Rhinolophus ferrumequinum: one gene and its partners. The protein of the gene in region 2 purifies or fractionates together with the protein of the main gene of each other region. This does not show direct contact. Links are inferred from orthologs where the notes say so. Each region holds a gene or a part of one and is shown on either strand. Other genes may lie near its edges.

Region 1 (11,146 bases), on a different chromosome or scaffold from region 2:
CGAGGGGAAATTCGGCTACGGAGTGGGGTGGGGGTTCTGATGTTGGATTTGGGGGTTCTGATGTTGGATTTAGGTGTAAGCGGTTTGCCCGCGCTGTGAAATGTCTTCAAACGCTCTGGCCTCAAAAGGCTAAACTTACTGAAAGTTGAAACTTGGTCCCGTGCAGTGAAAAAGCATTGAGAAAAGGCGCCTCCCGACTTTGGACCTTAAGGTTGGAGCAGGCAAAGATGAGGCCAGCTGTGGAGTGAGGCCCTGGAGGAGTCCAGGGACCCACCGGAGCAGCACTGAGTTTGGAATTGGGCCGTTGAGTGGATTTGCGTCCCGGGGAAGCCCTCGAGTTAGGGACGGGGTTATAAAACAAACCAACAGAAACCGGTATGTCGAGGGCCTGGCTTAGTTCAGCCGTCTGCTTATCCAACCACCCAGCGGAAATCTGAATTCCAGTCCCTGCTCTGCCACTGATTTACTGTGTGACCGAGAGCATACGATCTCCCTCTCTAAGCTCCAGCCTCCGTATCCTCTTGTTACAAAGGCCTCCTTGCTTTTCCCAGCGAAGCACAGTCCTCGGAATTTTTCCATTCACAGTTACCTGGTCTGGATTCTAGAATGCAGTCCTCCCAGATATCAGCAGGGCTCACTCCGTCACCTGCTGTTGTTTGTGACTCCCGCCACTCAGAGAATCCTATTTAGAATTGCAACTCCACCCTGGCGAACTTCCTGCTCAGGTTTTTGCTTTGTGTTCCCTCTGCACTTCACCAAGAGGTGGTAACATCACGGAACTAAAGCTTCATCTTTAGGGCCCCTCCATTCCCTGGGACTCTTCTATGGATCCAGGAGGATGCCCAACAATTTGCTCCCATGAGCCTATGTTTTTGTAAAATTTGCAAAATACTATCTGTACTGCAATCACTTAAAACCCGCTTTCTTACGATTTCCCCTTGTGTTTAGAGGCATTTGGGATCCAGGTAGAGGAAATCCAGTTGGGAACATTTGAGTTTAGTAGGATATATCTATGTGATACCCTTCCGTGTATAGTTAAGTTATTGCTGGCCTTCTGTGTGTAAGGTATACCTACCAAACACTGTCGTCAGTGAGTGTCCTCAAGGAAAGGAGTATGTAAGGTTAATCAGGGAACTAGAAAGCTTGAAATCATCTGAAATCTTACAGTTCCTATAGAACAAAAATTTGATACAGGTTGCTCCCAACTCTGATAACAATTCACAAAATGACCATGATATTACTAAAAAGGAATTGTTAAGTCAGAAGTTTTTCTAAATTATCAATAATAAAAAACTCAGATCTAATTAATATGCTAGAGGTAAGACTAAATTATCTCTCCATTCTTGTTATGGAAAATGTCACAAAATTGTTGTCATATAAAGAGGTAATCAAAGCATATTCAGCCTAAAAGAGAAAAAAATAGTGTGGCGGTGTTTAAGAAAATTAGCAAATATGTTTCTTTCCTGGATTTTGTGATGTTTATGCTATTTGTCAGCTTTTAAAAATTACAAATTTGTAATTGCATAATTTCTTCCGTAATTTGTGTTGTAATTCTTTGTTCTAAATAAATATTGTCTTTCCTACCTAGTTTTGGTTTTGTAATTGTCTATTCTTCATGTAAGCTTCAGTCACCTGAAACTCAGACCAGCTTGTTTATAACCATCTAACATACATTTTATTTGTTTACTTATGACTTTCTACCTCTTCCAGAATGTGCACTCTAACTTAGAGAATAGTAAAGACTCTGAGAGAAACTTCCTCCCTGGCTACTCTTTCTCCCTTTCCTCTGTTGATTTCTTATCTCTCCAGTCACTAAATGGTGGCCTGCCCCTTCTCTCTGGATTTGGTCTCTTTTCTACCTTCACTCCCAGGTGGCTTATCCAGCCCAATAGGTTTAAATATTATCCATATGTTGTTGACTCCCTACATATTTATCTCCACCCCAGACCCCACCCCTGAAGTGGGCTCAGTGGCCCGTGTGAGTACCTACCTGGATGTTTAATAGTCACCTCAAACTTAACACGCCCAAACTAAGCTTCTCTGATTTCCTGCCTCAACCTTGTTCCTTCCACAGTTTTCCCATCTTAGATAAGGGCAACTTCATTCTTTCATATGCTCAGGCCAAAGCCTTCAGAACCACCATTGACTTGACTCTCTCACACCACATGTTTGAACCATCTGCATTTTTTTGGCTCTACCTTCCAAATATTCCAGACTGTCTATTCACCATGTTCTATCATTCTTGTCCCAGCCTCCATCATGTCATTGTTACTGTAATAGCTACCTTACTCTTCCTGCTTCCAATTCTCAATCCATATTTGTAGAATTGCATTTGAATTCAAACACTCCATTACTTGGCAGCACATTAAGTCCGCATAGAAATGCAACTTTGATATGGAAGCAGCTGGAACCCCATTACAGACTGTGAAGTTTCCGATCATAGGGTGTTTGATTTTGCAAGGCTCCCTTGCTAATGGAAAAGCAGTACTTCAAAGGGAATGAATCTGCGGACGGACCAAAGCTCGTGGAATTTTACCTGGGAGAGTTGTTAAGAGAATTGAGCAGCTGAAAACCTGCCATGATTCTCTTGATCTTCTTTTGCCTGGGATTTGAGACAGGAAATTCTCTGACTCAGAAAAATCGTTAGTTATGTTTTACAGTCTGCCTGGGCTCTTCAGCTGGGTTCCTTTCAACCTCCATTTTCCAAGAACCTTGTATTTGTTTATAATTCACTTACTGTCTTGTTTATTTCATTCTCCTGAGCATGCTCTCACAAGCCCCTGCCCCACCCCCTTTACTGCAGTAATATGTGAGCCGTAGGAGAGCAGTAACTCAGTTTACAAATCGGGACTAGAAACATCCTTAAGGGTTGGTTTTCTGGTACAGGAGTTCACTAGATAGAAAACAAAACAGTGAAGTGGCAGGCTTTTTCCTGATTGCATGCTAAGTTGTATCCCTTCTTTCACCACAGACATTGAAGACTATTTATTGTTCTTGCCCACAAGTAAATATTCACTTACTTTTCTGAAAACACAGGGCCCTCTCTCTATAGCCTAAAAGAACAATTCTCAAATTGTTAAAAACATAATTGTCATATTCTATATCTTGATTGGAGTGATTTTTACATGAGTGTATACATTTGTCAAAAATCATCAACCTTGTACACTTAAAATGGGGATTTTACTGTATGTAATTTATACCTCGATAAATCTGATTTTAATATTATAAGTCAATGACAAATAACTAACCAAAAAATGTGGAACTTACATGATGACAAAAGATTAATACCCTTAAGAAATTAAAAACATAATTCTCATACCAATAAACACAGCTTATTTAATTGTTAATGAAAGAACCAACAATATGACAGCTGATTTGAAAACAATTTGAGAACAGTTACTGGGCAAAGGAATGCTGAAATATGATTAAGTTAAAGCCAAACTTCTTTCATGCCCTGCAGTGTAATAAAATAGTAACCTTTGGGGTTGGGGTTGGTTATCTTCTCCATTGGACATACAAAAATGATTGCACCTTATCAGTTTCCTACAAGTTAACCTCTAACTTTACAGAATTATAAAACATCACTGTGTCCTAATCGATTGTTAGTCAAAGTTAAATTTCCCCAGAGTCAGATGTCCCTCACGTGGGTTTATTAGAAATTCTCTAGCATGATATTAAAAAGTCACACAATCAACACATGTCATATTTTCAGATACTAGATAATTTCCCTCCACACGTTTTTATTATTCCACATTTGATACAGACAAGATGTATAATAATTTCCTATTAAATCTACCTAAGAAAACAATACGACAAGTATGACAATAAATGGCACTTGCCTTTAGGTAGGTAACAGATAGTGGCGGGGACCGTGACACACCAGAACACCATGCCCCATCCCAAGGGAAAAGTTGCTATGCAGCTCCAGCCAACTGTTGCCCTGTGGGAGAGCTGGTCCTGTATTGCCATATCTGTCCATTTTTAGGAGAATCTGGAAGTAGAAAGTTTTATGTGAAAGCTGTCAATATTTACATGTTGGCAATCCGTTCAAATTGCTCTAAAATACTGTGAAGGCCAACAGAATGCGGGAAGAATGTAAAGAAAACCAACTTACTGAATCTGGTCTGAGTCAATGTCATTATCTGACCTAGAATAATACCTTCTTATGGGAAAACAGGCCCAAAGAAAGGAAACACTTACCTCCAAATCACAAGGTGAGTTTGGCGTGGGCAGAACTTAGAACCCAGGTCCCTGGATTCCCAGGCTTTTCCCACGAGGTAAACATTATAGATATTTTCTTTGTCTCCCACTAAGTGTTTCATGTTTTATGTGCTGACTGATGAAATATAAATGGCTGTGTATGAATGCTTACAGTACCCTTAGGTCAAGTTCAAGCCAGTGTAATGTGCCCACTGTTGTGTAGGATTTGCGTGGGCCTTAGCCTGCATCCTACCCTTATTTATACTAATAACAATAGCTACCATGTTTTGAGCCTACTTCTGTGCCAAGCTCTGTGCTAGGTACTTTACTTATGTCATATCATTTAGTCCTTTGATAACCGCATGATATAGGTATTACTGTTACCTCCATTTTGCAGATGAGGAAACTGAAGCTCAGAAAGATAAAGTCACTAACTCAAAACCATGGCCCCACATACTTATGGCTCCAAAGTTGATAGTCTTAACCACTGGGCTAGACTATCTTTAATCATTCATTCATTTGTTCATTCAATCAGTCAGTCAGTCAGTCAGTCAGTTAGTCAAATATCTACAATGTGCTGGTGCCAGTTGCCGGGCCAGGCGTTATGGGGTAATACAACTCCGTAGACCCGAGTTCCAGTCTAAAACATTGAGGCTGAGGCTAACTGGGTCCACATTCAACCCACATCCTATTCTTCTAACTCAAAATAACAAGTGGTTCTTGAAACACACAAAGTTGGTTTAAAAATTATATGTAACAACCACCTCTAGATGTTTAGGGAGCCTGTTCAAATTAAAAATTTGTGACAATGCGAACATACTAGTAGACCAGATTTCTTGAAAACCAGACCCCCTGGTAGGAGGAAGACAATGTTCTTGACTGCTAGAATAAAGGGTTTGGACTTTTCTTTAGCTCAATGGGCAGGCAGTTCCTAGAGATGTGAAGAAAATTGTCCTTTGGGCAGCACGTGCACCTTGGATTCTACAGAGACTGGAGGGATAAAGACTAATTTGGAGGTTATTACACGGGGGAAAAAAGAAGGAATGAATAGTAGTCACTTCAGGGTACATTCAGCAGGAGTGAGGTATAAATGTCCCTTAAACTCTCCGTAGCCAGGTTTCCAGTATGCTCTTCGTTGAAGACAGCAGTGTGATGGAAAGAGAGGACTTTTCTGAGTTCAAATCCCAGTTCTTCAATTTTCTACCCCTATATCATTGGACAATAGATGTAACATCTCAGGACTTCAATTTCTTTATTTGCAAAAGGGGGTATAATAATATCTACCTTCTAAGGCTCTTGTGAGAGAGAACTACATGGTATAGTATATATCAAGCACTCAGCAAATGGTACATGTTCAATATTTTATTTCTTTTCTCTGTTTCCTTCTACTACAAATAGAGTTGGCATATGTCCTTATAGGTTATGGGTCAAAGAAGTTCAAATAACATTTTTCTCCATACAGTACAGTGGTAAGGTAAACCTCACAATGCTGTTCTGAGAGCACTACAAATTCTGAAAGTGCTTTTCACTGTCAGAGAAAGATTACATTTTAACTGGGTTGAACGAGAGGGAAGAACACAAGCCCTCATCCCAAGAGAGCTGAGTTTTCATGAACAAGTCCCTTATCTCTCTGGTTTCAGCTCCTCATCTGTAAAATAGAGATGGTCCTCCTTGCCCACCTTATAGAAGTTTTTGTGGAGTATGTCCAACAAACTCAAAAAAAGACTGGAGGCTTTAGCAGGAAATAAATGATTTTTTCAAGGGTCTTAGAGTTTGCAAACTTAGAACAGAGCTAGGCAAAAACCCAGAAGTGTTCCAAAGAAGAAAGAAAAGTTAAGAGTTCTTAGAGTAAAAAGTACATTCTTGAGAATTATAATTTATGCATTCTTAGTCCTAGGATTGATTGGTATAGAAAGGTTATCAGTCAGAGGTCAGGCAGTCTGGATGATGGATGTCAGGTGGTCTGGTTATGTGAGTCCTTGTGTGTGTGTGTGTGGGGGGGGGGTGGGTGGGTGGTGGATAATCAATCAGAGGGTTATCTGGAGGTCTGGTGTATGTCCAGATGTATAACCAGTCATTGACACGGGACTGGAAAGTTTAAAAAGTTGTTACCAAGCTAGTTAGAACAAGAATAGTGTCTTTCTTCAAGCCTCAACCTTCACAATGTTAATAATTTTTAGCAGCTTGGTTAAAGTGACTTCATTTTATATATTCCTTCTTTCCTCAGGTACAGGGTTGTGAACATTCTTACAAAACAGTGCACCCAGTTGCACTGTTGCTGAGCTCATCGTTATCTGCTTGCGGAATATTTCTCTGTTTCCGGCTCTGACTTCTCCCATAGGACTGTGAACATCTCAGCGGGAATGAAGTCTGATCCTACGTCCAGAACTTAATACAGAGAATTACCTGGCTCAGTGACTGGCTCTCGGACTGAAGCATCGCTCTGGTGTAACTACGTTGAATTAAAATGCTTTGTATATCAGTGATCAACTCCGGGGTTACCGAGAGAACCCTGAATAAAGGGATCTATCGCATTTAGAAGCTATTACTTCTCGGTTAGTGGTGATAGCCCCAGATTTTAACGTATTATCATTTTCCTACTTAGACTATGCAATTGTGGAAAGTTCTTTTTTTTACGTTCATTGATTTAAAATATATCCATATTTATCTTTCCCTACAGTTTGTCTTCTTGACGTTCCTTTTTGAGTGGCTGCAGATCATCTTAATGTGATTGGTTAAAGCATCTGCCCGTTACCTTTCCCATGGACCGACGGAGGAAATGGAAAAAAAAAAAGGAGAGTCTTAAATTCAGCTGTTTAATTGGCTCCGGTGTAGGGACGTATGGCGGAGCCGTGGACACTTCAAATTTATGACTGGTTCTTGTGTCCGTCAGTCACGCAGCCGGAAACCAATTCTATTGCAGGAACTATACCCGGTTGGCGGGAGGGAGGGGTGGTTAGGCCGGAAGGGTTTTCATTGGTTCGGAACCCTTCCGCTCGCGACCGGAGCCCGCCCCTCTCTCGGTTGCCGTGGTTGCAGGCTGGGGCCCGCCCGCTCACCCGCTGACAGCGAGGCTTAGGGTGGAGGGAAGCGGGTCGGTTGGTCGGTCGGGAACGAGGCTTCCGCGGTCTGGCCCGCGCAGAGTTGTTGCCATGGCAGCCGCAGCCGGGGGCGCGGACAACGAGCCGCGCTCTGGCCGCTCGAGCTCCGACGGCGAGTGCGCGGTGGCGCCGGAGCCGCTGACTGGCCCCGAGGGCCTCTTCTCCTTCGCCGATTTCGGGTCTGCGCTGGGCGGCGGCGCGGACCTCCCGGGCCTCCCGGGCCGGGCGTCCGGCGGGGCCCAGTCCCCTCTGCGCTACCTCCATGTCTTGTGGCAGCAGGACTCGGAGCCCCGCGATGAGCTATGCTGTAAGATCCCCGCCACCCGGCTGAGGCGCGCCGCCAGGCCCCACCGCCGGCTTGGGCCCACCGGCAAGGAGGTGCACGGTGAGGAGCGCGCAGGAGGTGTGGCGGACTCCCCGCCAGGAATCCAGCCCCTGATCTCTCCCCAGCCCCCTCATTCTGGAGTCCTCCGACATCGGATCTAAGGGCCCAGAGTCTCCTTTCAGTAGTAATAATTATAGCGGCTAAGGACCGTGAACGTTAAAAAAGTAAATAAATAAAAAAGTAAAGTGTTCCTGCTCAGAACTAGTCACTCTAGGCCTTTCACACTTGGTAATTCCTGAATAGAAACTTGTCATGACTCTAGGTGTTTTTTAGTAGATAATACAATGGAGTACTGGGGAATACTTTTATTATCTGAGAGGGGAGGTCAGCCAAATCCTACCAATATGTTTTAATGCACAGACCTGGATTGGACTCCTCTATCTCATTTCCACCTTAGGCAAACTATACAGCCTTTCAGCCTTCGCTTTCTCACCCGTAAAATTAGTACAATACCTGCTTTACTGGGATGTTGCGAGAGTTAAGGAAGGTAATGCATGTATAGCTATTAATCTGGTTTTGTGTGCCAAATCCTGTTGCGTGATATGTGATCATTTTTAATCCTCACAATAACTCATTGAGATCCAGATACTTCCTGGTTTATGGAAGAGGAAACTGAGGCTCAGAGAAATTGCCTAGCTCCAAGTCACATAGCTAGAAAGTGCTATATTAGAACCCAGGGCTGCCAGACTCAAACTCCTACTCTGGTATGTCGACTGGATTGTCTTTTACAATTTACTGTGATTCCACCTGTATCTTAATAGTGTTATAAAGATTAAATGAGAATTTAAGAGTGCTGTATAAACCATAAAGTACTCTATGAATGTAAGGAACTGTTATGTATCTGAGTTGTCCTTTTTGAGCATTTCTCTGATGACAAAGACATTGCTTTCTATTAGCTTCTAAACTGAAGGTAGTGTCATTGTAGGAGAAAAATGTTTCTGCTTAGGAATTACCAAATTTAAGTAAGTCATTTGGGACTGGCCTGTCTTGGAGAATGTAAGATTACCTGTGTAAGTTCACAGAGAGCTTCCATGTAAACATCTCATTTTGTCTTTGCAACGACTGGGGGGTGTCAGAACAGAGCTCAACCTTGTTTTGGGGATGATGGACCTGAGGCCAGAAAGGTTAACTAACTTGCTCAAGTCACCCAGCTGCTACAAGTGACAGAACCAATATCTGGCTCCAAAGACCTTGGAGGATTTGCTACAGAATGTGGCTTTTGCACTAGCTGTGCCACGTTTCAAGTTTCTCCTTGTTCCCACGGTGGTGTCACTTGTATCCTGGCACCTTTCTTTCCCTTTAGATGTTATTGTGGCTGTGTGGTGGGTTAACTGGGAAACCATCCGCTTTCTGCTTCATCATGGCTGTTGTCGTTTTTCTTTAACTGGGACTCTCCTACTCTCTTCACAGCTCTGAAAAGGCTGAGGGACTCGGCCAATGCTAACGATGTGGAAACAGGTGAGTGTACAAAGCGGATCCAGCTCCATGGGCTAGTTAGGGAAGGAAAAATCCAGGTACCAATACCTGGGCAGATAGTGCTTGAATTCAGCTAACCTGTGGACCAGGCTCACTGTAGTCTTTGCATAACTGCAATCATCTTGCAGACGATAAATCTGGCTTAGGTGCTCACTCTTCTTCCCATGTTTCCTGTCACCCCAAACTTCCTGATGTCATGGTGTTTATCACCCTGTGGGTTCCCTGATGGTGGAGACTGTGTCTGCTTTTGTATCCCTGATACCCAGCAGCAGAGTGGGAACTTTTGGAAACTTCTGGTTAATGGGAATGAACCGTCGATTTTAGCTGCCAGGAGAGCCACCGTCTGCACAGAGCCGCCACCTTCAGCTGTTCATTGAGGCTTTTTGGGTCACCGGTTCTCAAACTTGTTTTTAAGCAGAACACCTGAAAGGCACCACTCTGTGTTTTTGTTTCTCCCTCCAGTGTTCACTAGGAGACAGGGCAGTAGCAGGATCAAAGGACAAGGACAAGTTACAGGAAAACAGTTTTAAGTTTATCCACTGACTTAATTCTTTCTGTGAATCAGGGAAAAGAGGGATATTCATTTTCTATGGCTGCTGTAACAATTAACCACAAACAACACAAATTTATTATTATGCAGTTCTGTAGGCCCGAAGTCCAACACAAGTTGCACCGGGCTGAAATGAAGGTGTCCGCAGGGCCGTATTTCTCTCCAGAGGCTCAAGGGCAGAATCTGTTTTCCCTACCTTTTCCAGCTTCCGGAGGCCACCCATATTCCTTAACTTGTCGTCTCTCTCCAGCTGCAAAGTACAATAGTGAACTGAGTTGTCACACTGCCATCTCCCTGGATCTCACCGCAGGAAAAGATTCTCTGATTTTTAAGGACTGGTGTGATTAAATTGGGCCTGAATCATCCAGGATAATCTTCCTAGTTCAAGGTCCCTAACCTTAATCACATCTGCAAAGTCCGTTTTGGGCATGTAAGGCCCAAAACATAAATAGCCATAAATTCTGGGGTTTAGGGCGTGGCATCGTTGGGGGCAGTTATTCTGCCTACCTCAAGTGGACGTCATTCTGTTTTGGTGGTGGGACCCTCCGGTTGACAGATAAAATGTGAGTATAGATTGAGAGCCATGTGATAGGAGAGCAGGCGTGGAGAGGAGATTGTTTACCTTAGGAGCTGGGGTGTCACACCATGGGCCCTGAAGTGGTTCCCTTAATCCTGGATTAGCATAGTGAGCAGTCCTGGAAACTGGGGGGCTTTTCAGCTCTCTTTACTTTGGTCTCTTTCCTGTGAACTTTAACACTTTGGAATATTTGGGCAGTAACCTAGATAGTTTTTTTAAGGAAAACAGGTAAGTGTTCTCTTTTTACTACTAGTGTGTGACCAGAGAATATTTTAATTATACTTCCCTTTCACCAAAGGTCTAATTCATCTTGAATGAGGTGTTCACATGGTAGTTTTATTATTTTGATAGAAAGGCTGTAATTTTCTATTCAGAGCCTCTAACACACCCATCTTCAAATATAAATGGCTCTTAGATTTATTAGGCTCTTGCAGGACGGTGATGGTGAAACTGGCTGTAAGATTAGCCTCTTCACTCCTTTCATGTTTAGTATTTTGTTTTCTTTTTCTGCATGCTTATTGTTTTTTTTGTATATTTTAGCAATTACTGTGGACATAAACTTTATACCCTGCTATTGTTAAATTACAAGTGCTTTTCTATGAATTCATAAATCATTTAAAATATTTTAAATATGACCTGAAACTAATAAAAAAATAAAATATTTTAAATATGGAAATAATGTATGCATTTTAAATGTTTTGGATATTAGAGAAATATACAAGAGAAACATCTATAATGTCAGCAAAGGAACAAATCTCTGTTAAAGTTTTGGTGAATATTCTTCTAGTCCTTTTTCTTATGCAGAGGAATTTTCTTTATGGGCTTGCAAACTGCCGTATACACAGTTTTGTAGCCTG
Region 2 (10,666 bases):
CTCTGACTTTCCTACTTGTCTGCAGGTGGCTTCTTCTGCACGTCCTTAATTGAAAGCCATCAGTTCAGCTTGATTTTAGGCAATTCTCAATAATGGTTGTTTTATAAATTAGTTGTAATTTTGATGTGGCTGTGAGAGAAGGTAAACACAGTGTTTACCTACTATGCCATCTTGGTTGTCTCTCTGCCAAGAACATTCTTGTACATGTGATCATAGTTTTCCACTCTCAGAATGAATTCTCAGTTATTGAGACAAAGTGGCAAACCCACGTCTGGCTTATCTGTTGGACTAGACACTTTGTGCTATCCCTTGTTCCCTCCTCAGTCCTTATCTTCCTGGTGCTTTACTAAGCAATCTGATAGAATTATCAACTGTCTCCAATTGGAGTATAACTGATGGACTAAATTTGGCCTACCAAAAATCTCTTCTCAGCCATAAGAAGCATCTCTCAGGTTCTGATTGAGATTTTGATTGAGAATGCCCTGGCCCTGGAAGCAGAAGAGAAGTCTTCTTTAAAACATCATTACCATAGCAACAAAGAAACTTAATTGTTCTTGTTGAGTTCCAAGAAGCTCTATTCAGGCTCCAGTGAGACATAATTATTTGATGATAATCTTCAGGGTCAGTGCTGCAGGTAAACCAATTTGTGGCGAAGACTTCCAGCCAAAATCACTTTTCTGGCTGCATGCTAACCAGAGAAATTCTCATCTGCTGTAGTCGTTTCCAAGAGATTTGAGGGCTATGGTTCTTTTTCAGTATTTCATATTGTTAACATTTTATATTTTCTTCTGTGGTTCTAGAAACTTCTAGGTCTCTGGGATTCATCATCTCTTCTACCCTGTACTGGAGACAGTAGATTCTGGCCAAGTGATGATGCAAGGAGAGCCAGATAACCAATCCTCAAGTTTACACTCAGCATCAGATTGGTGGTAATACTTTCGGCATTGTCCCTCTGCCCTGAGGGTGACTGCTGGGGTGTATATCTTTCATTCGGGACTTGTGTTCTTCTTTGTCTTTTTTTTCTTTCAGTTTAGTTTTTTGTTTTCTCTGGTTTAAATATTTTTATTTTTTTCCTTTGATATCAAAATAACATGTTCATTGTAGAAAATGTTTTAATTACAGGAATATTAAAAAGAAAACACCAATTATAAGCTCATTATCCAGAGACATTAATATTTGGCCACATTACCTTCTTTTTTTTCTGCGCATTTTTCTTATGTTTAAGATCATATTGCACATAGTACTATTTGTAGTTTGCTTATTTTTCTTTATATTACCTATCCATGCATCTATCGATCCATCCATCCACCCATCTATCCAGCACACTCTTCCCCCCAAATATCTAAAATTTTTATTTAACATTACTTGTGATTATTTCCCCATGATATTAGGATCTCTATATATGCATCATTTACCAAGTCAAAAAGTGTGTGCATTTTGCATTTTGAAACATATTGACAAAGTAGTTTCCAGAAACATTATACCAACTTCACTCTACACAGCCATTTTTGAGAGTCTGCTTTCCCCATACTTTTAACTCTTTCTGCTCCATTTCTAATCAATTTTTTACTGTTTTTATTGCAGATGAATTTGTTTTCTCATTGAGCCAGTGATCTTGAACTCCAATATATTCCAACATCGACCTGGTCTAAAATTTAGCTTCTCTTGACTCTAGAATTTTCTTCTTCTAGGGATGAGCTACAGTGTTTCTCCGAAAATAAGACCTAGCCAGACAATCAGCTCCAATGCATCTTTTGGAGCAAAAATTAATATAAGACCCGGTCTTATTTTACTATTTTACTTTACTTATAGTAAAATAAGACCGGGTCTTATATCATATCATATCATATCATATCATATCATATCATATCATATCATATCATATCATATCATACTGGGTCTTATATTAATTTTTGCTCCAAAAACGCACTAGAGCCGATTGTCCGGCTAAGTCTTATTTTCAGGGAAACACGGTAATAGACTATTGTTCATTTCTTTTTCAGGGAGGCAAGGCAGTGAGATGAGCTTCTCGAGGTCCAAAATTAACCCTAAGGGCATCTGGGTGACGGCTCTCAGAGAGTGAGAAGGAAATTCTGAGATTAAGGCTTTCATGTTTCCAGTGCTCTCTGAACACCCTCAGTCAGTGCACATGAACCTCTACAGAAACTGAAAGTCACATGTGGCCCATTTGTTTCAGGGTCCTCAGAGGAGTTCTCTCTCCCCCTCCCCTGATGGCTTCATTTGCATAACCAAGCAACTTTAGAGTGAATTAGGTCAAGGTCTGTCTCTAGCTTCTTGCTGAGCACTACCACACTGAAAATTCTAGCTCTCCCTGATTCCCAGAAGTTAACAGTTGGATCTTGGCATCACTGGATGAAAAACAGCAGGTATCTGATGACTCTGTGGAGAACACCCAAACTGGTTTTCAAAAGCCGTATCTTCTTATACCTAAGTCACTTCCTGGTATAGGTCTAGTCCACTGAAAGGAAACTCTATAGGAAATTTGCTCTAATGGAAATAGTAAATCAGAGTAATGATATTTTAAAATTGCACCAAGACCCTAGAAGTGGATGGAAAGTTGTGCTAGTTCTCACCACAAGGAGTTTACAAAGGATTCTAAACAAACACAGCACTGACCATAAGCAACAGGAATTTGGACTTTAACACATCAGGTAGTTTAAGTAGTCTGAATATAAAATGGGTCAGAATAGAGCAGATAGGGCTAGCCCTAAGGGATACTATTTCAGTAAAATGCTTTAAGTTCCATGAGTATTTGCATTTTGTGGCTTATTTGGAGGGTGGCATTGTTTTATCAAATAACTGAGGCTCCAGAGAGGCTATAGCACCTTTGGTTCAGAGACTTGGCATGCAAAAGGAGAGAAAGAGCAGAGCTAGCACACAGAGCTGTGAGCTGTGCTAACAGCACAGAGGACAGCCCCTGAGCTGGTAGACCCCTGCCTCTGGGCTTTGCTGCTGCCCTGCCTCTGGAAATGCACAGCATGGGATAGAGACTTGGAGCTTGGAGACCCAGATGGCTGGCAACCTGGACTGGGATTCTATTTGGAGGTCCAGCAACACATCCAAGGATTTCTTGGTCAGAGCCAGAGATCCCTTTTGTTCTAAATCCCACACCATTTGCTCTAGGCAGGCCCTCTGGGGGCACTGGCAGGTCTCAGGCAGAATAAAAATAAGAGCAAACACTGAGATACTAGCACTTACTATTGCCAGGCCCTGTTTTTACCGCTTTACATATATTAACACCCTTATTGCCCCCCAACAATCCTATGGGGAAGGTAGTAGCACTAGGCAAGTAAGGGGAAGGAAAAGCGAAAAGAGCAGGGGAAGAAAGGGGCAAGAAAAATGCAATGCAATTCAACAATTATTTATTAAGTGCTGCCCCTGTTTCAGGGAATGTGGTAATGAACAAAATAAAGGAGGGAATAAAGAAAAAGGGGTACAGGCAGAGAAAGGAGGAGGAGGAGAAGGGGGGATGGAGAGGAGGAAAGGAGAAATGATGAAGACAAGAGAAAAGCCGTGCACATGGCAGGCAGGCAATGGTAATAGGGAAAACCTCAGGGGTTGACCACACAGTCTGGGCTGAGGCTGAAGCTGCTTTCTTCTGCCCCAGTCTCTTACCCACTATTACCACGGAGGCTGGTGCACACAATCCTTCCAACAAGACAGCTCAGATCTCCGTAACACGGGCCTGATGCAGCCTGAGGCAGGTTGCCTAAAGGCTGGTTTAGCAGATACCTTTCCCCGGCTCTCAAAGGTCAACGGCCTATTGCAGTGTGGGAGCTTTCACCATTTTCTCAGACAATCTACCCCTTAGAATTTCTTCTTCCAAGGACCTCAATGACACAAGTACACATTTGGGGTCTTCAAGCAATATTTGAACAAAGCCTTATTTTTATCCTATTGCCACCGACAATATTACTTTTCAGCAAACTTTTTCACAGGCGCCCCTTTCCAACATTTGTTACCTGTTCAGATGTTCACCTCATGTCACTTTTTGCTCTTCCGGTTTCCCCCACAACCGTCCTCAGAAAGAACCCTAACAGCCTGTTCTGATCATCGGTGGGGACTGCCAGGGGACCTTGTGCTGATGATACTCCCAGCCTCAGTCATCCTCCTCCATCAGCCAACTACATGGCAGCAGCCATGCCTTCTCTCTGGCCTTCAGGATTCCCACAAAAGATATTTGCTGCTGCTGCCCAGCCCCTGCCGTGCCGCAGACCCACCTTAGTCCTGACTTAGTGCAGGTAGCTTCCCAGATGCATTGAGATGCCAGGACTTTGAAGGTGGGACTCGATCTCAGAAGACACTGGCCCTGGAGACATATTCTTACAGTCCAGAGAGGAAGGACAGTCTGAGCAAACCCCACCCTTTCACAGCCACTCAGTTCCCTTTTTTCGTTTCCTGACTTAAACCAATGCCTTTTTTTTCTTCTTCTCAGCAGCATGGTATCTGGTTCCCTGCTGCTGTCCCTATTCTAACCACCCCCTCCCAGTTGTCTCCGCCCTTCATTTGCTTGGGACCTCTGACACTACTGTCTTGAGTCCTCTCTGAAAGAACCCTTCTCAACATTACTGGGGCCACTGAAGCTCTAGATGGGGCTGGGTTGAGCACATGGGTCATCAGGCAAACTTCCTCAAGGTAAAGGGACAACATGCTTAAAGGACTGTGGGAATGGTCAGCAGAGGTAGTGGAGACTTACCGGAAGGAGGAGAAATGCAGACCCCACAAAGACAAAACAAAGGGACTAAAGAGGAAGAGAGCCTTTAGAGTCTCATGTCCTCTAAGGCCAAAGAGACTCAGGGTCACACAGTTAAACTTGACACTGAAGGATGGAGAGTGCTTATGAAGGGACCCCAAAGTACGGAGCCTGACAGGAGAGACAAGACTTCCCCCTGCTGAGTCATTTTCAAAGAAAGCATTTTTTCTACAGATAAAAATGTCCAAATGTAAGACCACAAAAAGACTTGTGACCTTCCCTATTTTCTGTGGATGTTGATTTTCTCCATTAAAGATTCTGCTGCAGAGATTAACTCCTAATTTACACTTTTCACATTAATCCTGTAAAGCAATAAACCAGACTAGGTGTGTTACTTAAAGCCTGAATATTTCCTCAGCTATCTCTGCTATGTTCCAGCAGCAGTCTTCTCCCTGAGGATTCTCCTAGGAAATTCAACCAGTACTGGCTGCAGACAGGATGGCAGCAGAGCCCCTGGTGACCGATCTGCTTGCCCACCTTGACACATCAGGCACTGCCATGTTTACTTGCCCCAGGTGCTGTATCCTAATATAGAAACAGATCACAGATCTCACTAGAAGTCCATAAGAATTTTTAAGGCAACAGGACTTTTTAAAAAAAGCATTTGTAGAGTGGTTAATCCTCACATCTGCACAAGATAGACGGGTGGCAAGTGTTGTACGATCTTCCTATTTTATTGATAATTTATATCCTTTCAACTAGTCACCTCTTAACAGCGTCTCCAGTCACCTGCCTGAGAGTTGGTCACAGACATTTGCCTTTATTCCCCTTTTCTTCAGATTCTACTTGTTGTCACATGCCCTATCCCTTCTCAAGGTGCATCTTGGGGTGGAGACGGGGAAATAACGGGCATAAAATGGGGAGGCTGGACAAGGGAGAGCAGGGCAAGGAAAAGGGGAAAGTAAACCTAGGTGCTTTTTCACCTTCTGCCCATGAGTACTCCCTTAACACACTTGGCTAGATGGACAGAAGGACTGCATCCAAATAGTGCAAATAAATGGCCTAGTGTCACCTCAAGAAATTCCCAGTATAATATAAGGTTCTGTGCTTGGTGCTATCTTGTTCAACATTTTTATTAATGACCTTGGAGGAAACTATAGAAAGTAGCCTAGCCAATCAGTGAACGGCACAAGGCTGTTGTGAGCTAGATGGGGATGACAGAACCAGAGCAAACAGTTTCCCAACAGATCTTGATCACCTGGTGTGACAAGCCAAAGTCAACAAAATGTATTTTACCAGGGCTAAGGGTCATGTCCCATAATTGGGCACTGACATTGAACTTCAAATGACTCCAGGTGAAAGTGAGGTAGTAGTAGCATTTGTGGAAATGTTTCAGAGGTTTTTGCTGATAGTAATCAAGAGAAATGTCATGTCAGTAACATGGCAGCCAGAAAATATAAAGTGATATTAGATTTCCTTGCAGAAGTAAAATATCTAGGCATAGGAATGTGAACAGGCCACCTACTCTGCAGGACCAGGCTATATATAGAGTCCTGTGTTCAGTTCTGAGTGGCTCACCCTAGGGGAAATTAATGGGCAGGAGCTTGTCCAAAACAGATACCAGGATTGGTGAAGGGAATCGAAACCAAAGCCATGTCACATGAGATGTCATAGGAAGAACTAAGGTTGATTAGACTAAGAGGGACCATGTTCGCTGTCTTCATATTTCCATGTTACTAACATCTAAAACCTCTAGAAACTCCTCAAAGGCCAGTGTGAGTGACGCTGCCTAAGAGCCCGGAGAGAAGAAAATGCTGTGAGACTACAGGCTAGTTGTTTGGCAAAGAAAACTTTTAAGAAATGTAACAAGTAGTGGTAATGTTTTTATTATCTCATTCCCAGAGACCATCTAACAAAAAGGGGATGATCAGAGAGTCAGCTCAGGACCCATGGGTGCTCCTGGAGGGCTATGCAAGCAGGAGACCACAGGCTCTCATTGTTCCTTGGCCCTTAATTCACTGGCAGCTCCTCCTACACCTCTGCCCAATTCTCTCTCCTCATCCTTCTCCACCCTGCAAATGCCCTTGCTTCCTCGGTGTGATGTTGTGGTTAAGTGCAAGGCTATAGTGTTAGACTACCTGGGATCAAATTCCAGCTCCACAAAATAACCATCTGTGTGACTTTGGGTAAGCAAATTAATGCCTCTTGTGCCTCTGTTTCTCAACCTGTTAAATACTAATAATGGTATACGCTGCCTGGATTGTTAGGATTAAAAGAGGTAGTATATAAGGTGGTTAGGAAAATGCCTGGTATATAATAAGTGTTCAATAATTGTTACCTATTATAGTTAACAGGCCACAATTGTCATGTTGTATAACGGTAAGAGAACCCAGGCTCTGGATTCAGATCACCTGTGTTTGTATATTGGCTCCACTAAATACTGTCAACATTGGGCAAATTTTTAAAATAGCTTGCAGCCTCAATGTCCTCATCTGTAAAATGGGAATAATAGTATCACCTACCTCCTGGAATTACTGTGAGAATTTTATGAGACAATCCATTTTAAGTGCTCAGTACCCTGAAGTCTTTCTCTGCTGGACTCTTTTGAAACCTAGCAATGCCTTCTGCCAGCTGTCAATGAAAAAACATCCAAACATATAGAAAAGTTTTTTTTTTTTTAATTAAAGTTTATTGGGGTGACAATTGTTAGTAAAGTCACATAGATTTCGGGCGTACAATTCCATAATACATCATCTATATCTCACATTATGTGCTCACCACCCAGAGTCAGTTTTCCTTCCTTCATCATATATTTGACGCCCCCAGAAGTTTACCCTCTTCTAGGACCCCCCACCCCTTTATCCTCTGGTAACCACTAAACTATTGTCTATGTCTGTGAGTTCTTGTTTCTTCATTTGTTTGTCTTGTTCTTTTGTTGTTTTCAGTTTTATATACCATATATCAGTAACAGACTTTTTCTGTCTGACTTATTTCGTCTTATAAGAGTTTATTTGAGCCAAAATTTTGAGGACACGCCCGGAAACAAAAATCTCAACAGACTGAGAAAATGCTCTGGAGAACGGCAGTTTTGCATTTCCCTTTTTTTTTTAAAAATTAAAGTTTATTGGGGTGACAATTGTTAGTAAAGTTACATAGATTTCAGGTGTACAATTCTGTGCATTTCCTTTTATGCATTTAGAATCAAAAGGAAAAACGTAAGGGAGGCACATGAAAGCCATTGGTGGTAGTTTAAAGACGCGGGAGAAAGCAAAATGGGGAAATCTCTAGGATTGGATAAAAAGCAAAATGGAGAAACACATACTTCTTTTACATTGGTGGGTACAGGATAGTTAATTAACACTGACAGCACATAGAGGTGGTATGCAGAGAACAAGATAACAACCAAGGATTCTGTGCTCTCATGCTCTGGTGGTGGGTCTTGTGCTCTGGTGTCTGCTGTTGTGCCTTCGAGGAGTCTATAAGAGAAAATTACTCAGACATTTCAGAAGTATGTTATCCTAGATGCATAAGAACGATGGACAAGGCTCACTTAACGTGAAGATTGACCTTTGCTGAGGAAGCTATAGGCCTGGGGCGAGACTACCTACCGTGACCTGCCCAGACCTTTCTGTGTGGTTACTTTTGATCACCGAGTTTGTAAGGAGCTTGTCAGGTTTAGTATTTGGCTCCTTTTTTGTTCATACAGGTATCCAGGGAAGGGAAGCATGGCTGGATACTTCCTGTATCTTGACCTGATTGCAGCAGCTGAACAATTTCATTCTCATTTTTCAGAACCTAGGGCAGCCAACTAGTTCCCTCAACAAAAAGGGGCTGCTTTAATGCTGATCATTGTTCCTTTTTTACAAAGTACTTAGTCTGTAATTATACATTATGAGCATGATTATTTGATTATTGTGCCCAACACAGAATACGCATTCAATATGCATTTGCTGAGTGGACCAACTGGCTATGTGATAGATGGACTAGAGCACTGGCTCCTTCCAAGTCTTCAGTGAACCAGCAGTTCCTGCAAAAGATGTTCCCAGTGTCCTTGAGGTGGAACAGGAATGGAACATGCAGGTGGTGGGCCCCTCCACTTGCCTCTAGTCCTGCCTTCCATCGGGGACGGGGAGAGGGAGGCCAGAGGGTCTGCAAGAGCACTGCTTCCTTCACTTAATGCTGCACTGAATCAGCGTCTGCCAAAAGTGATGAAGCGAGGAAAAGTCGCAAAGCTAGGGGGAGGGAGGAAGTCCCAGAGAATGTGCTAGCCTCGGCAGAGCCCTTCCTTAAGCTCCCGTCCCCAGCTCCGAATCGAGTCCTCTCAGCTGCCAGAGGGCGCTGCGCACAGAGGTTTAGACTCTATGGTTGCTCCCACTGACTCCCATGACATGAAGAAGGGCGACCAGGAACCGCCTACATACTTCCGTTTCCAGCCCGGCCTCTTTCTTTCCGCGCGGATAGCGCTCTCACAAACATGGTAGGTCTTGGGGTGGGAATGCGGTACCATCCAGTTTAATCTCCGCCCCCCGCCCCCAGGTCAACGGTGCCATCCGGGATGGGTCCGGGCCCCTGTGCGGATTCGTTATACCAAAGAAACCCAGTGTTGATGGGATCGACCCCGAAGGGACCGGGCTTCGGGGCCAGGAATTGAAGTGGTTGGATCAAAGAGGTAGACTTAGTGAGTGGTGGTGTGGATATGCTCTCCTAACACTTTAGGGCTCGTCGGACGCAGCTGTACTTGAAGCACATAGGGCTGGACCACCTAGTCTGCGTTGTGTCTTAGCGAGGATTTTGAGAGTCGAGTCCTCGTGGACTGCCTTAGCGTCAGCTGGGTCGGAGTTGTGCCTTTGGCATCTGATAACACCACGTTCTGAACTGTTTATTAGGTGAACGTTCCTAAAACCCGCCGGACTTTCTGTAAGAAGTGTGGCAAGCACCAGCCCCACAAAGTGACACAGTACAAGAAAGGCAAGGATTCTCTGTATGCACAGGGTAAGTCTACGTGATTGGGTTTGAATGTGACATTTGTATAGTACATACGAGCTCAGACGCCCCCATCCCGCCTCTTGGGCATTGATATTTCTGCTGGAAACCTCAAGATAAAACCCCTAAGAAGGATTTTCCACGTGGCTGTTGTGATTTATTATCTTTGGTATATCGTAACAAATAATTTTCATTCTCCCAGGAAAGCGGCGTTATGACAGGAAACAGAGTGGTTATGGTGGGCAGACTAAGCCAATTTTCCGCAAAAAGGTGAGTAGTAATTACTGTTTGATGTGCTTCCCACTGACTGGTAAAGACCTTGCATTTGTTGCTAGCCCACACACCTCTACGATAAAGATACATGTTTTCATAGTTTCAGAGAAGTTATCTTCAGTCACCTGCAGTGACATACCTAGTAGGCAGTGGAGCGGGAAGTACAACCCAGGTCTGACTGTAGTCTACAACACTGCCCCATCACAGTGTTTTATGTTTTTTGTCCTTTCCTTTTTGAAGAGGCAAACATGTCCCCTTCCTTTCTAAGGACTGAAGTTTGAGTATACCAGCAAATCCTTTCCTTTGCCCTGTTCCTATCTCCTCATATCCTAGTGAATCCTCAGCTCTTGCTTGCAGTAAGAATTGTTCTTATTTTGCTTCTCAGCTCAGCCTGCAATCGGTTATCTACCTCATGAAGTCATAAAGCTCTTTAAAATTGCCATTTAGGCCTTCTACTGGTGGCCTGAACTCTTGTCATTCTCTGGCTGAATGTGTTTTTACCCCGGGCTATTTGGCTACTTCTTAAAGTAAGTACACAGTGCCGGGACAGCATTCCCAGGACCATAGAATTTCTTTAGGCACTTTGCTCTTCCGTTAGCCTGGTTCCAGAAGGTACCAAGGAATGACTTTAGTGTTCATTTAGGTGCAATAAATGATTTGATCTCAAAGTGATAAAAGGAATGCTTGCTTGCCTTT
Region 3 (10,997 bases), on a different chromosome or scaffold from region 2:
TTACTCTAAAGTTGCTTTTTTAAAATTTTTGCCTTAATTTTGTTTTTAGGCTATGTCAAACCATTACCTAGTTTAAAAGTCAAAATTCCATGAAAAGGCAGATCACTTCTGCTCTATTTCCAGCTCACTTCTGCCTCCCACAAATGGCTATTTTTATTCATTTCTGATTTATCCTTTTAGTGTTGATGTTTGTTTTTGCAATAATGTGTGTGTGTAAACTTCCTCTATCTTCTTGTTTTTTAAAAAAATAGCTTATACTGTCCTGACCATGTCTATTCCACTTAACATATCCTGGAGATCACGACTTTTTTATGCCTGCATAGAACTCTGCTACAAGGATGGATCAAAATTTATTCAACCAGTCCCCCAATGATAGGCATGGAGGTTTTTACAATCTTTTATGATTGCAAGTAAAACTGCAATAAATAACTGTGTGCAGATGTCACATGTGTGTGTTATGTGAAAGTGTATCTTTAGGATAGGGTCCTAGAAGTGAGATTGCTGGGTTACAAGGTAAATTCTTGTATTTTGTTAGGTATTGATAATCCCCCCCACCCCCATGAAGAATGTAACATGTTGTAATCAAAGGGTGCCTATTTTCTAAGCACACCCTATCATCAGAATTTTAGATTTTTGCTAATTCGGTATGTGAGATATATATGTTTTTCGGCATAGTTATAATCTTTCCCTTAATAGGAGGGTGGTTGAGCATCTTTTCATCCATGTAAAGTCCTCTTGTCTTTCATGGTCTTGTTTTTTACCCACTTTTTATTTAGGTTTTTGTTTTTCCCATCTTAATTTTTGGAGCTCTTTATCTACTAGGGAGATTAGCCTTTTATCTGTGATATATGATGCAACCCTTTACTCTCAATTTGTCCTTTGTCTTTTGATGTTGTTTACATTTTTTGCCATGAAAAAGTTCTTTATGTTTTTCTAGTTAAATTTGTCAATATTTTCTTTGATTACGTCTGGATTTTAAGTCATAAATAAGGTTATGAAGAAATTAATTGTGTTTTCTTCTGGTACAGGGACGGCTTCATTTTTACATTTAGATCTCTGATCCATTGAGCGTTTTCTGGTTAATGGTTTGAGGTATGAATCTAACTTTTATCTTTTTCCCAGGGGCTTTGCAATTGCCCTGCGATTGAAAAGTTCATCTTTCCCTCATCAGGTATGGTACATCCATAACATTTAATCCTTGTTTTCTTCCATTTCTTTCTGCACTTTCTCTTTAGTTCCATTGGTCTGTCAGAAATACCACGCTGTTTTTATTAGAGAAGCTTCATAGGGTGCTTTAACCTTGAGAGGGCAAATCTCTTTCCACTCTTTTCAGGAGTTCCTTATTTCTTTCTAGAGAGGAGCTTTAGAATCGACTTGTCTCTGTCATGGGAGGAGGGGAAGGTCTGTTTGCTATTTTAATTTGGCATCACATTCAACTTTCACCTTATATTGGACATCGTCGTGATATTGATCCAAGAACATGAAATAGCTACCCGTTTGCTCAAGTCTGTTTTCGTTTGGGGGCCTTTTGAATTTGGATGGACTGCCTGGGTAGGAAGACTAGGAGACTAGTCAACTCCACCAGATAAACGGTGACAGGAAATTATAATTAACTTCCACGGCATCTGTAATTGAGGACTTCTGGCCTGCATGACCTCCACCCCTGGAAGCCATGAGCCTTCTCTCAGTTCTCCACATCTCTGACACTCCCGTTCCTTGGTCAGAGAGCTCTGCCTTTCTGCTCTTGCATGCTCTCTGGCTTCATCGTGGCCCTGATTATTGGGGACAACTCAGCCTGCTGATTGTCTAGGACCCCATGCATCTACCTCCCACCCTCTTTCTGGATGGCTGTATCTGTCTGGTGGCTGGGCTGTGTGACTAATGAGGAGAAAAGGGTGTTTGAGAACCAGGCTGACCAAAGGGATGGTGGGAATTAGTGAGGAATAAGACGGATCCTCAGGGTGAGACTCAGTTACAGAACAGCATGAGTGACAGTCATACTTGGTTCTAGAAGAAAGGAAAAGCCTCTGAAATCCTTAAGAAGACACAGTAGCTGAGAATATGGCCTGAGAATGAGAATGGAGGTGGATCTAACTACAGAAAAGCAGCAGGAGGCTGAGCAGTGATCCAGGTGAGGGCTGAGGCTGGAGTAAGAGCGAGGTGAAGGTGGAAATACTACAAAGGAGAATCTTGTTGGTAGTTGGCTCTGAGGGCTGAAGAGAAGGGAGGAGGTGAACATCACACACAGACCAGGAGTTGTCTGTCCCAACAATAGGCTATTGTAATGTTCTTGCAGGCCACGGTCTTGGACTGACACTCTGAGTAAAGGCTGTTTTCTTCTAAGCTATTCTCCTAATAATACAGATGTTGCACTCCAGGCCAATTTGACATATAGAATATTGACTTTACTGACTAGATAAAATAGGGAACTGATTTGTCTCACAGAAAGTGAAGCCTTGGGCTTTAAAGAGCCTTTGCCCATTTGCTCATCACAGATGTGTTCTCTTCTTCCTTCTTTCTCCTTTCCTGCCCCTAATCTCCCCACAAAGGTGGAGAACAAACAGACCGCTACCCGCATCCGCCGTACTTCCTTTTCTTTCTCTGCCTTTCCCTGGCCTCTTCTGCTGTTTTTTCCACTGGCTTACCCAGGCTCCTTAGCTTCCCCCCAAACCTTCCTCCACTTGGGCCCTTAATTGGCACTGGCCAGTTAATCGGGCATGGGTCTGCCCAACAGCAAGCTCCTGCTGTATGTGTCAGAAAGCTGCCAGGGCCACTGTGCCTGCAGCACACCCCTAACCCCCTACCCCCAAGAAAGAGGGCTATCACGAGAGGAATAGAGAGTGAACGGTGTGGGGATTAAGAGCCCTGGCTCAGGGGTCAGGAAGGCTGGATGGCCTTAGGTAGGTTATGTCACCTTTTTTGAGGTTCAGGCTTCACATCCCAAAATGGGAATGATAATAATACCCCCTCATAGAGTTGTTGTGAGGCTGCCCATCATGGGAGTAGGTTATGGTTAGAACCATACTGCATAGTACTGATGCCACACTTTGCCTACTTTCTTTGGCAGTTTACCTAAACCAGACCTGGCAAGGGAAAAGCCATCAGCAAGGGGGTAGCAGAGCACAGAGGGTAAACCATGGCTGATTTCCCAGTTCTGGTGAGGGCTTGGACTACTTCTAAGGCTCTGTAAACTGCTACAACCACCTAGCCCCACTTTGTGACGCAATCTCATATAGGCAATCAGAGGCTTCTCTTCTGGAAACTGTAAGAGTGTTTCTGCTGGTGGAATCCCATTTCTGTGCACATGGGGCAGTGTCCAGATGCCAAGTCAGAAGGAGCCTGAGCCCTCCTTGAATCTCCTTTCCTGTCCTCTAAAGGTGAGAAATTGATGTCAGGGAGACTAAGTGATTCCCCCAAGGTTATGATTAGGTCGGCGCCTTGATGCCAGGACAGGGCCCTCTGCTAACTCACAGATCTCCCTTGCAAATGGTAAAGCCCAGTGACTAGCAGCACACACTAGGAAAACAGGCTTGGGGTTGAATCCCAGCTCTTCCATTGTTGAGTAGCCTAACTTTGGGCCAGTTACTTAACCTCTTTATGAATCAGTGTCTTCACACATGTAAAATGTCATCATAGTACACGGACATGGAAAGCATTCAATAAGCATGTTGTTGTTTGTTGTCATCAATAGATGCAAGGAAAAGAGCCCAAGAGAAATCAGGGCGGGTTGGGTTTCATCCCCAAGCTCCAGTATAATCTGTCTTCTCGTTCTCACTCCTCATCATCTCACAGAACTAACTGAGACTTAGGCAGGCTGTCTTGCCTTTGCACCATAATTCTAGACCAGGTCTTCTTTTATTTGTTTTTGTTAAATATTTAATATCTACAGTAGGTACCTATATATTCACCACTTAAGAAATAGGACACAACCATTGCCTTTGAAACCCTATGTGCCTCTCTACTCCAATCCCACGCCGATAGCCATTCTCTTGAATTTTACACTTACCATTTCCTCCCTTGGGTTGACCATATATGTATGTGTCCTAAATAATATATCAGTTAATTTTGCCTTAATATAACTGGAATCATGCTATATGGTCTTGCCTTCATTGCTGAAATTATGTGTGTTATTTATCCATCCCGATGCAATTGTAGTTCATTCATTTTCACTGTTGAATAATACTCCATTGCATGAATATGCCACAACTAATTTATTCATTCTCCTGTTGACGGGAAATTGGGTTATTCCAATGCTGTTTTATTTCCTATTAGAAATGGTGCTTTAGTGACAATTCTTGTACATGAACTTGGTGTACACGGTATATTCTTCGTGCTCTGTTACCTTTATGACCCATGTGGATCGCAGGTATGTGTGTCATTGCACCTACTTTATTTTTATCAGCAGTGTACAGGAGTTCTCAATTTTCTCTAAGGTTGGGATTATCCATTTTTCATCTGTTAATCTAATGATTAATTACGCCCACTGTACTGTGCAGATCGAGACTGAGTTGTTTATCGTGGTACATTTTTCTCCATGTGCTACAGAAACCATGTTATGTGGTCTCAGGCCTTTTACAAGTATCAGTTAAGACTTGATGTCCTGTTTGCACTGACCTTGGGAACCTACTTACACCTGTAGCGCAGTTGTGGCAGCATGGAACATTATGGTTGTCATGCTACAGACCACATGGGGCAAAATGTCCAGTCTGGACAAGCAGACTCTCATTTTTATCATGTCAGACTAAATACAGTAAAAAGAAGAAATACAAGTGGCTGTAAAAAGAAAAAGCAGAAGTGTGACTCTTGCCCCTGATCTGTTTCTCTGGGGAATAAGAAGTTGCCAGCACAGGTGCTGAGCCGAGTTGTTGGTGGAGAGAAAAGTCAAGTGGCCGAGGGGGTGTACTTTACAATAATTCAGAAGGAATGAGCTGATTATCATCATTCCATCCCAGTGAAGCCTGATTGTCCTGATTTTTGATGACATTCTATGTGCCTTCATCATCCTGGACTACTAGTTTCAGTTAAAAATTATGGGAAGGGGATGGGCCGAGGTGTAGAGTTCCTTCGGGGTACAATGCAAGAAAAGTGAGCTGCTTGCTTGGGGGAAATAAATGATTGGAGGAGGCAAGCACTTGCATTTTTCTCATGAAAATTATCTGCTCTCTTATTGGCCTGGCCACCCCTCAGTAGCTCTGAGGATTCTGCTCCTGAACGTCTGGTCGAGCTAGAAATTCAGAGGCAGTACATGAATGTGAACAGTCAAGATTTACCTGGAGAAGTACAGAACCTCTGTTTGTACAAAGGAGCGACACAGGAGGGATGAAATCCATTTACTGCTTCCACCTCTGCCGTTGCTGCTGCTGCCTCTCTCCTCCCTTCTCCTTCTCCTCCGCCTCTTTCTCCTCCTCTTCCTTTAGCTCTTCTCCCTCTTCCCCTTGTATGTTCAGCCAGACTTTGGGTCTGTAACAGGAGAGGTACCTGGGAGCCCTCCACTTTGTCCTTTCTATATATTCTTCAGACTCTGGACAGGACTGGTCACCTGGAATAACGTAGAAGAGTACCCCAATTTCACAAAGGTGAACAGGCATTCCTGCTGGCTACAGGGAAGTGTGTCCAGGCATAGAAGGAACGGTCCCTCTCATTTCCTTCTTCCCTGACTCTAAACTGCCTTCTGACCTCTAAATGACAGACAAATGGGAGATTTTCAGAATAGGTCAAGGGAGCAGTCAAGTCTTCCAGGAGGGAAGTGGGCCGTTCTGAATGGGTCAGCCCTACAGGTGTGCTTCCCTCCTCCCTGCTGCTCGCCTGACCTGCAGTACTTAGGATGCCCTTACTGCCCCCATGTCTGCATGTAGCGGTGTCTGGGAAGAGATGAAAGTGAGCAGCGGAAGAGGGCAGGTGGGGACAAAGGCAGTGAGGAGCGTGGCATCCTGCTTTTCAAGGGACTTCCAAATGGCCCGATGTCAGAATTGCATTGTTAGGAGACTGTCAGATTTGTTCTCAGCTGACTTTTGGGTACCTCCTGGTTTTGTTTGCAAACATCTGGCTCTCAGCACAACTCCTGAGTCCACTGACCTGACAAGGATTACACATAACACACGTCTTATGATACAGATCGTCTCCTCTTTTTCAGATCACTCATCTGTCTCTACCTTGCCTAGAGAACTGTCCATCCCATTTTAGATAGATTGTCAGGAAAAGAAAACTAATTCTCTGAGTAGACTATTACTGCTGTGTCACTGCCACCTGATATTTATTTAAAAACATTTGGGTGGGGGGTGGAAGGGATGAACAGAACAATATAAAAATGCCAGTTTCATATCATGGTTCTTCAAGTGGAAAAGTTTATCCATGACGTGACGCAAATGAGCATAAAGTTGCAAAGAAACCTTCTGATGGAAATGACTATTCTGCTTTTCCTTGAGCCCAGGAAGCTGCTGGGGACAGCATGACACCTGCTGAAAACACAACTATATGTGTTTGAGACAACAGGAAGTAGTGACCAGTCAGAGCTTGCCCTGACCTGGTTAAAAATCTGGTTATAAAAGAAAGCAGCTGGAAAGAAATTTGCATGTCCAATAGGTTTCACTATTAGAGTTTACACAATGTGGAGTAATCAGCCAAGCTGGCTGGCTACCCGGGTCACATGATTATGTAGAAACATGAAACTTGACTATGTGCTCGAGCAAGTTTTACTTCTCCCTGGTGCCAGGGTGTTTGCCAGCAGCCTGCACTCTCGGAGATCAGACTCCAGTGATTGGGGATCCTTGAGATCAAAGGCTTACCATGCTACCCCCTAGCAGGGCCAGGGACTGCTGACGTTACCACTGGACGGTTATCTGTGGCTCATTATTACCAAAAAGAATGGACAAGCTTAATAAATTAACTGTTCCTGCCAGTCAGAAGTTGAGGTAAGATTGTCCCCATCCAATACTTCTTCTTCGCTTTTTCCAGTGATCTTACTGCATCTCAGAAATACTGAAATCCTGGAATGCTTTACTAGTTCTAAGGCAGAGGGTGGCAACTACTATGGGGAAGTAGATGACATTTTTAAAGAAATATGTAGGAACAAGTAGGCTTATTTTAGCAGGCTTTTGCCAGAGACAAAGTGTAAAGCTCTGGAGGGAGAATAAAAAAGAGAGGCCAAAGGTCAGCTTTCAGAGTCTGAATACAACCACCTTTTTTAAGGAAGGGTTTGCCTAAGCTGAGTCCTCAACCATTTCATTGTGGATTGCTTTGTAATGTGAAAGATTGTTATAATCAGGTGTATTCATTATAGTTTTACTGTCTCTTATTTATTTTGTGGGTATATATCAAGTGTTTTGGGGGAGATTAGATCTGTTTTTTCCCATGTCTTCATGTCAGTGTAACAATTATCTATAAAAATCCACTTAGAAAGAATAAACCAGAAATGACCCCAGGGCGGGCAAGAATCAAGAAACTTCTTTGATCTATAGAAACGAAGAGTTCCAAAATTTTGATTTTGAAATTCTTCTTTGTGTTTCATGGTTTTTGGAAACTGGAATTTTTTAATGTTCAATGACTGGTTTGTATTTCAACTACTGCTTGAGCTTCAGTTTTTCATGGGGTGACGTGTCACATGTGGCAAGTTACCACAGATATTAGGAGCCAGAGAATTCGAGCTTTTGAGACAAAATTTAAGAGCAAGTAGTCTGGAATTGGCAGAGACGCAGCCCTTCACAGTGAGACTATGGGTCTTAACACCTGGTAGGTGCTCGGTAAATGGTGACATGAACTGCTGCCCTGGAATCGGCACGAGCACAGGACACAGTCAGCCATTTTGAGGGCACGCTCTTGGCTGCTGCTGTGTGGTCTGCACAGGCAAGGACAAGAAGGTATCGCAGTCTTGCCCTTGGTCTCAAGTTGCTGCACCTCCTAGGAGGGGGTTAGGTAAAACCAGACAAGTAGTAAGTGACTAAATGAGTGTAAGCTAGGAATTGGAGGAGCTGGAGGTTTCAAGGAGAAGATGCTTCAAGAGCTTTAGGATTTGGGAGGCTGGGGGCATGAAAGGAGGTGTAGAAGTGGAAGGGAAGTATTATGTGCTAGGAGGGAGGAAATGCAAAGCTGACACTTGGAGCTGACATTTAGACGGTCCATGTGAGGGATGAGGAAGAGAGTTTCCTATCCAACGGAGACCGGAGAGTAGGGCATGTGGGACCAGGCGGTCCTGACAAGGTTGGATGCGTAGGGTAGCGCCCAATTACAGAGGACAGGGAGGGCTCTCACCACAGAGAGCTGGAAAATGGTTTACACTGTTAGAGATGTCCTGCCAACACGCTTATGGGAGGTTGGCAGGGTGGGCTGAAGGGGGATGGAGACTGGAAGCAAGGAAACCCAGTAGGAGGGGGACAGTTAAGTAACCCAAGCATCTAGTGTTGCAGGTCTGGACTTGGGGCACAGCAGTGAGAGGGGAAAGGACAGAGAGGCAGGAAAGACATGCCAAAGAAACTACTAAGGAATAGATATCAGGGCTTCTCTCCTATGAGCAAGAGGGTTTTGAAAGATATGTTCCATAACCTGGAGCTATCCTAAGGCTTACAACCTCTTTCAGAAACTCTAGATGAGAATTTGAAAAAAGGCAATAGAACCTAAATCACTTTATGATCCCTCCCTTTCGGACAAAGTCCAGCTTGATCATGTAACAGTTGATAGACAATATACAACCATGGATTACAGGGTAGAAAACCAAAATTATATTGTGGATAATCATACACTCCACTCATCTGTTTAGGCAGAAATAACTTTTTTTTCCACTTGGTTATTCAGTTGTCTGTTCAGAATTGGCCTGTTTTGGTAAAATGTACACTGTCAGCGTGGACATTTTCAAAGAAATGAAATTGTAAACACAATGGACTTGAAGCACCATCTTAAATCTTTTCTGTAATTAGATGGGATAGTGAGAAATAGATAAATAAAATACTTGATCCCTGTGGTTTATATCCTGTCCTGACTAGTAACACCAATACAAAAGGTTGCCTAACTGCAATTATTTGGCACCAGATGACAATATAAATGAAGAGCTGTGTTTATACGCTTAGGTTTATCAAAGTTTATGTGAGAATTTGCTTAAATTCTTAGCCACAAAAATAGAGAGATAGTAAGTGTCCATCAAGGGAGTCTAAAAGGGATGACCCTGATCTAGGCAATATATTTCCAGGGCTGAAAAGAAACTAGAGGCAGAAGGAGTGACCAGGAGTGCAGGAAAAGCAGAATCAACCAAGGAAAGGAGAACAGGCAGGATTGGAGGGAAACAAGGGATTCTCAAAATGAAGGAGAAAAAGAAGGTTCCCAGATGGACGCAGCTGGGGATAAGAATTTGCCCTGAGAGTTTCTGCTGTGGAAGAATTGAGAAAGGCGAGGTGGCTAAATTGCATGTGACCACAGAAATGTGTGAGCACAGAGTCTCGTTTTTCTTTTCTTGTGTTTTTTTTTGGTTTGTTTTTTTTAACCATTGAAGTACTACATGAAGGAATCCATAAACTCTCAAGATCTTTTAGTTAATTCTTAACTATGGTTTTCCCTGGATTTTATAAGATAACATTATCATCAGAAACCCAGCTAAAACCTGGTTTCTCAATCCTTTCACAGTAAACATTCCTAGGATCCTAAAAAGTTTACACTTCTAGGTAAATATTTCAAAATTTACAATCCTGAATCACATGAACTATATTCTTTTTAAGTGAGTGAAACTTTGAAATTTTATATTTTTATGTTTTTAATAACCTCTCAATTGACTCTCATCTGTGCTCACGTCTTTTTCTTTGTAGCACCTATAAACACACTCACTTTTATACATGCAAAGGCTCGTTGAGTGTGGTGAAACCAAGTCACCCCAATCCTTATCTTATTGGTTAAAGTGATGCTTTTCAGTCCAACTAACATATGTGTAATTTTAGGAAAGTTTACTTAATCTCCTTGGTCTCAGTTTCTTCAGCTGGTAAGAAAGAGGTAATAACAGGACCTGATCTTATCGGGCTGTTGTAAGGATTAAATCAGTCATTCTATGAAGCATTGACACATAGTGATTCTGGCAAACAGTAATTATTGAATTTAAAAATGGTAGTTCTCAATATCAATATTGTTATTCTTATTAATTCTATAGGTGTGCAATTGATTTTCTGAACATAAACACAGGACTTTACATTGATCCTTGATAAATTTCATGTTAGTTTTCAGTTCTTCTTTCTGGCTATTTTGGCTATTTTACCTGTCGATACTGACACCTGCGGCATTTAGCTTTGCATGGATTGTAGTCGTGACAAATATCCCTTCTCTGCCTTAATTTAAGTGGCTAATAAAACTGTTGAGCCTGACAGAGCTCTGGCGTGGGTATCTGAATCTCACTGCTAGTGGAGAATTTAAAGAAAGAAAGGCAGTAGAACCTAAATCATTTTATGATCTTATTTAACAGATTCTGGGATACGACTGCTCAGGTCTTGGAATCCTCACTTGGAATTTCCAGTTAGCTGACTTTTCAATTCCTCAGAAACAAATTTACCTTCTTTTCACCTGTCCGCCACTAGCTCCCTCTCCGGTCCTCCCTGTTTCTGTTAACGGTATCATGGTATCATCATCAGCCCAGAGTCTGATTCATCCTCCTCTCTGGACCTCCACTCACCAAGCACACCCTGTAGTCTTTCTTTTATGATGCTTCCATATATGTCCCTTTCTTTACTGCCACACCATCCTGAATAGGATCTCATTTCCCCTGTGTCCCCCATCTACAAAATGAGGACTTTAGAGCAGACGATTACCAAAGTCCCTCTCTACTCTGATGCTGTGTGACCCTTTAAGAATGGAGACAATGCTTGACATATGTTATACATCCTCTAAGGCTAGTATTTTATCTTATGACTCTCAGGAAATATTTCCTGATTGAATCATCAACTTATGTGAGACAACCAGTTTGCAAAATATCTTCCAATTCTTTTCTTATTGCTTTGAAAGCTGCCCAACTTTGGACACTGGGGTCAGAG

The links.
Region 1: the proteins of BTK (region 2) and ANKRD54 purify together in Homo sapiens (affinity purification with mass spectrometry; 4 studies listed by BioGRID and IntAct, counting the BioPlex papers as one, with this or other methods). This does not show direct contact. The link is inferred for Rhinolophus ferrumequinum from reciprocal best matches to the Homo sapiens genes BTK and ANKRD54.
Region 3: the proteins of BTK (region 2) and BLNK purify together in Homo sapiens (affinity purification with western blotting; 5 studies listed by BioGRID and IntAct, with this or other methods). This does not show direct contact. The link is inferred for Rhinolophus ferrumequinum from reciprocal best matches to the Homo sapiens genes BTK and BLNK.

Annotation. Positions count from the first base shown.
Region 1 is NC_046293.1:9,099,133-9,110,278, forward strand, and holds the start of ANKRD54 (ankyrin repeat domain-containing protein 54), read left to right. Parts: upstream 1-6,900; 5' UTR 6,901-7,352; coding exon 7,353-7,686; intron 7,687-9,096; coding exon 9,097-9,144; intron 9,145-11,146. UniProt on the Homo sapiens protein: Plays an important role in regulating intracellular signaling events associated with erythroid terminal differentiation.
Region 2 is NC_046284.1:53,107,157-53,117,822, reverse strand, and holds the start of BTK (tyrosine-protein kinase BTK), read right to left. Parts: upstream 4,411-10,666; 5' UTR 4,242-4,410; intron 1-4,241. UniProt on the Homo sapiens protein: Non-receptor tyrosine kinase indispensable for B lymphocyte development, differentiation and signaling. Binding of antigen to the B-cell antigen receptor (BCR) triggers signaling that ultimately leads to B-cell activation.
Region 3 is NC_046299.1:27,240,011-27,251,007, forward strand, and holds the start of BLNK (B-cell linker protein), read left to right. Parts: upstream 1-6,646; 5' UTR 6,647-6,864; coding exon 6,865-6,911; intron 6,912-10,997. UniProt on the Homo sapiens protein: Functions as a central linker protein, downstream of the B-cell receptor (BCR), bridging the SYK kinase to a multitude of signaling pathways and regulating biological outcomes of B-cell function and development.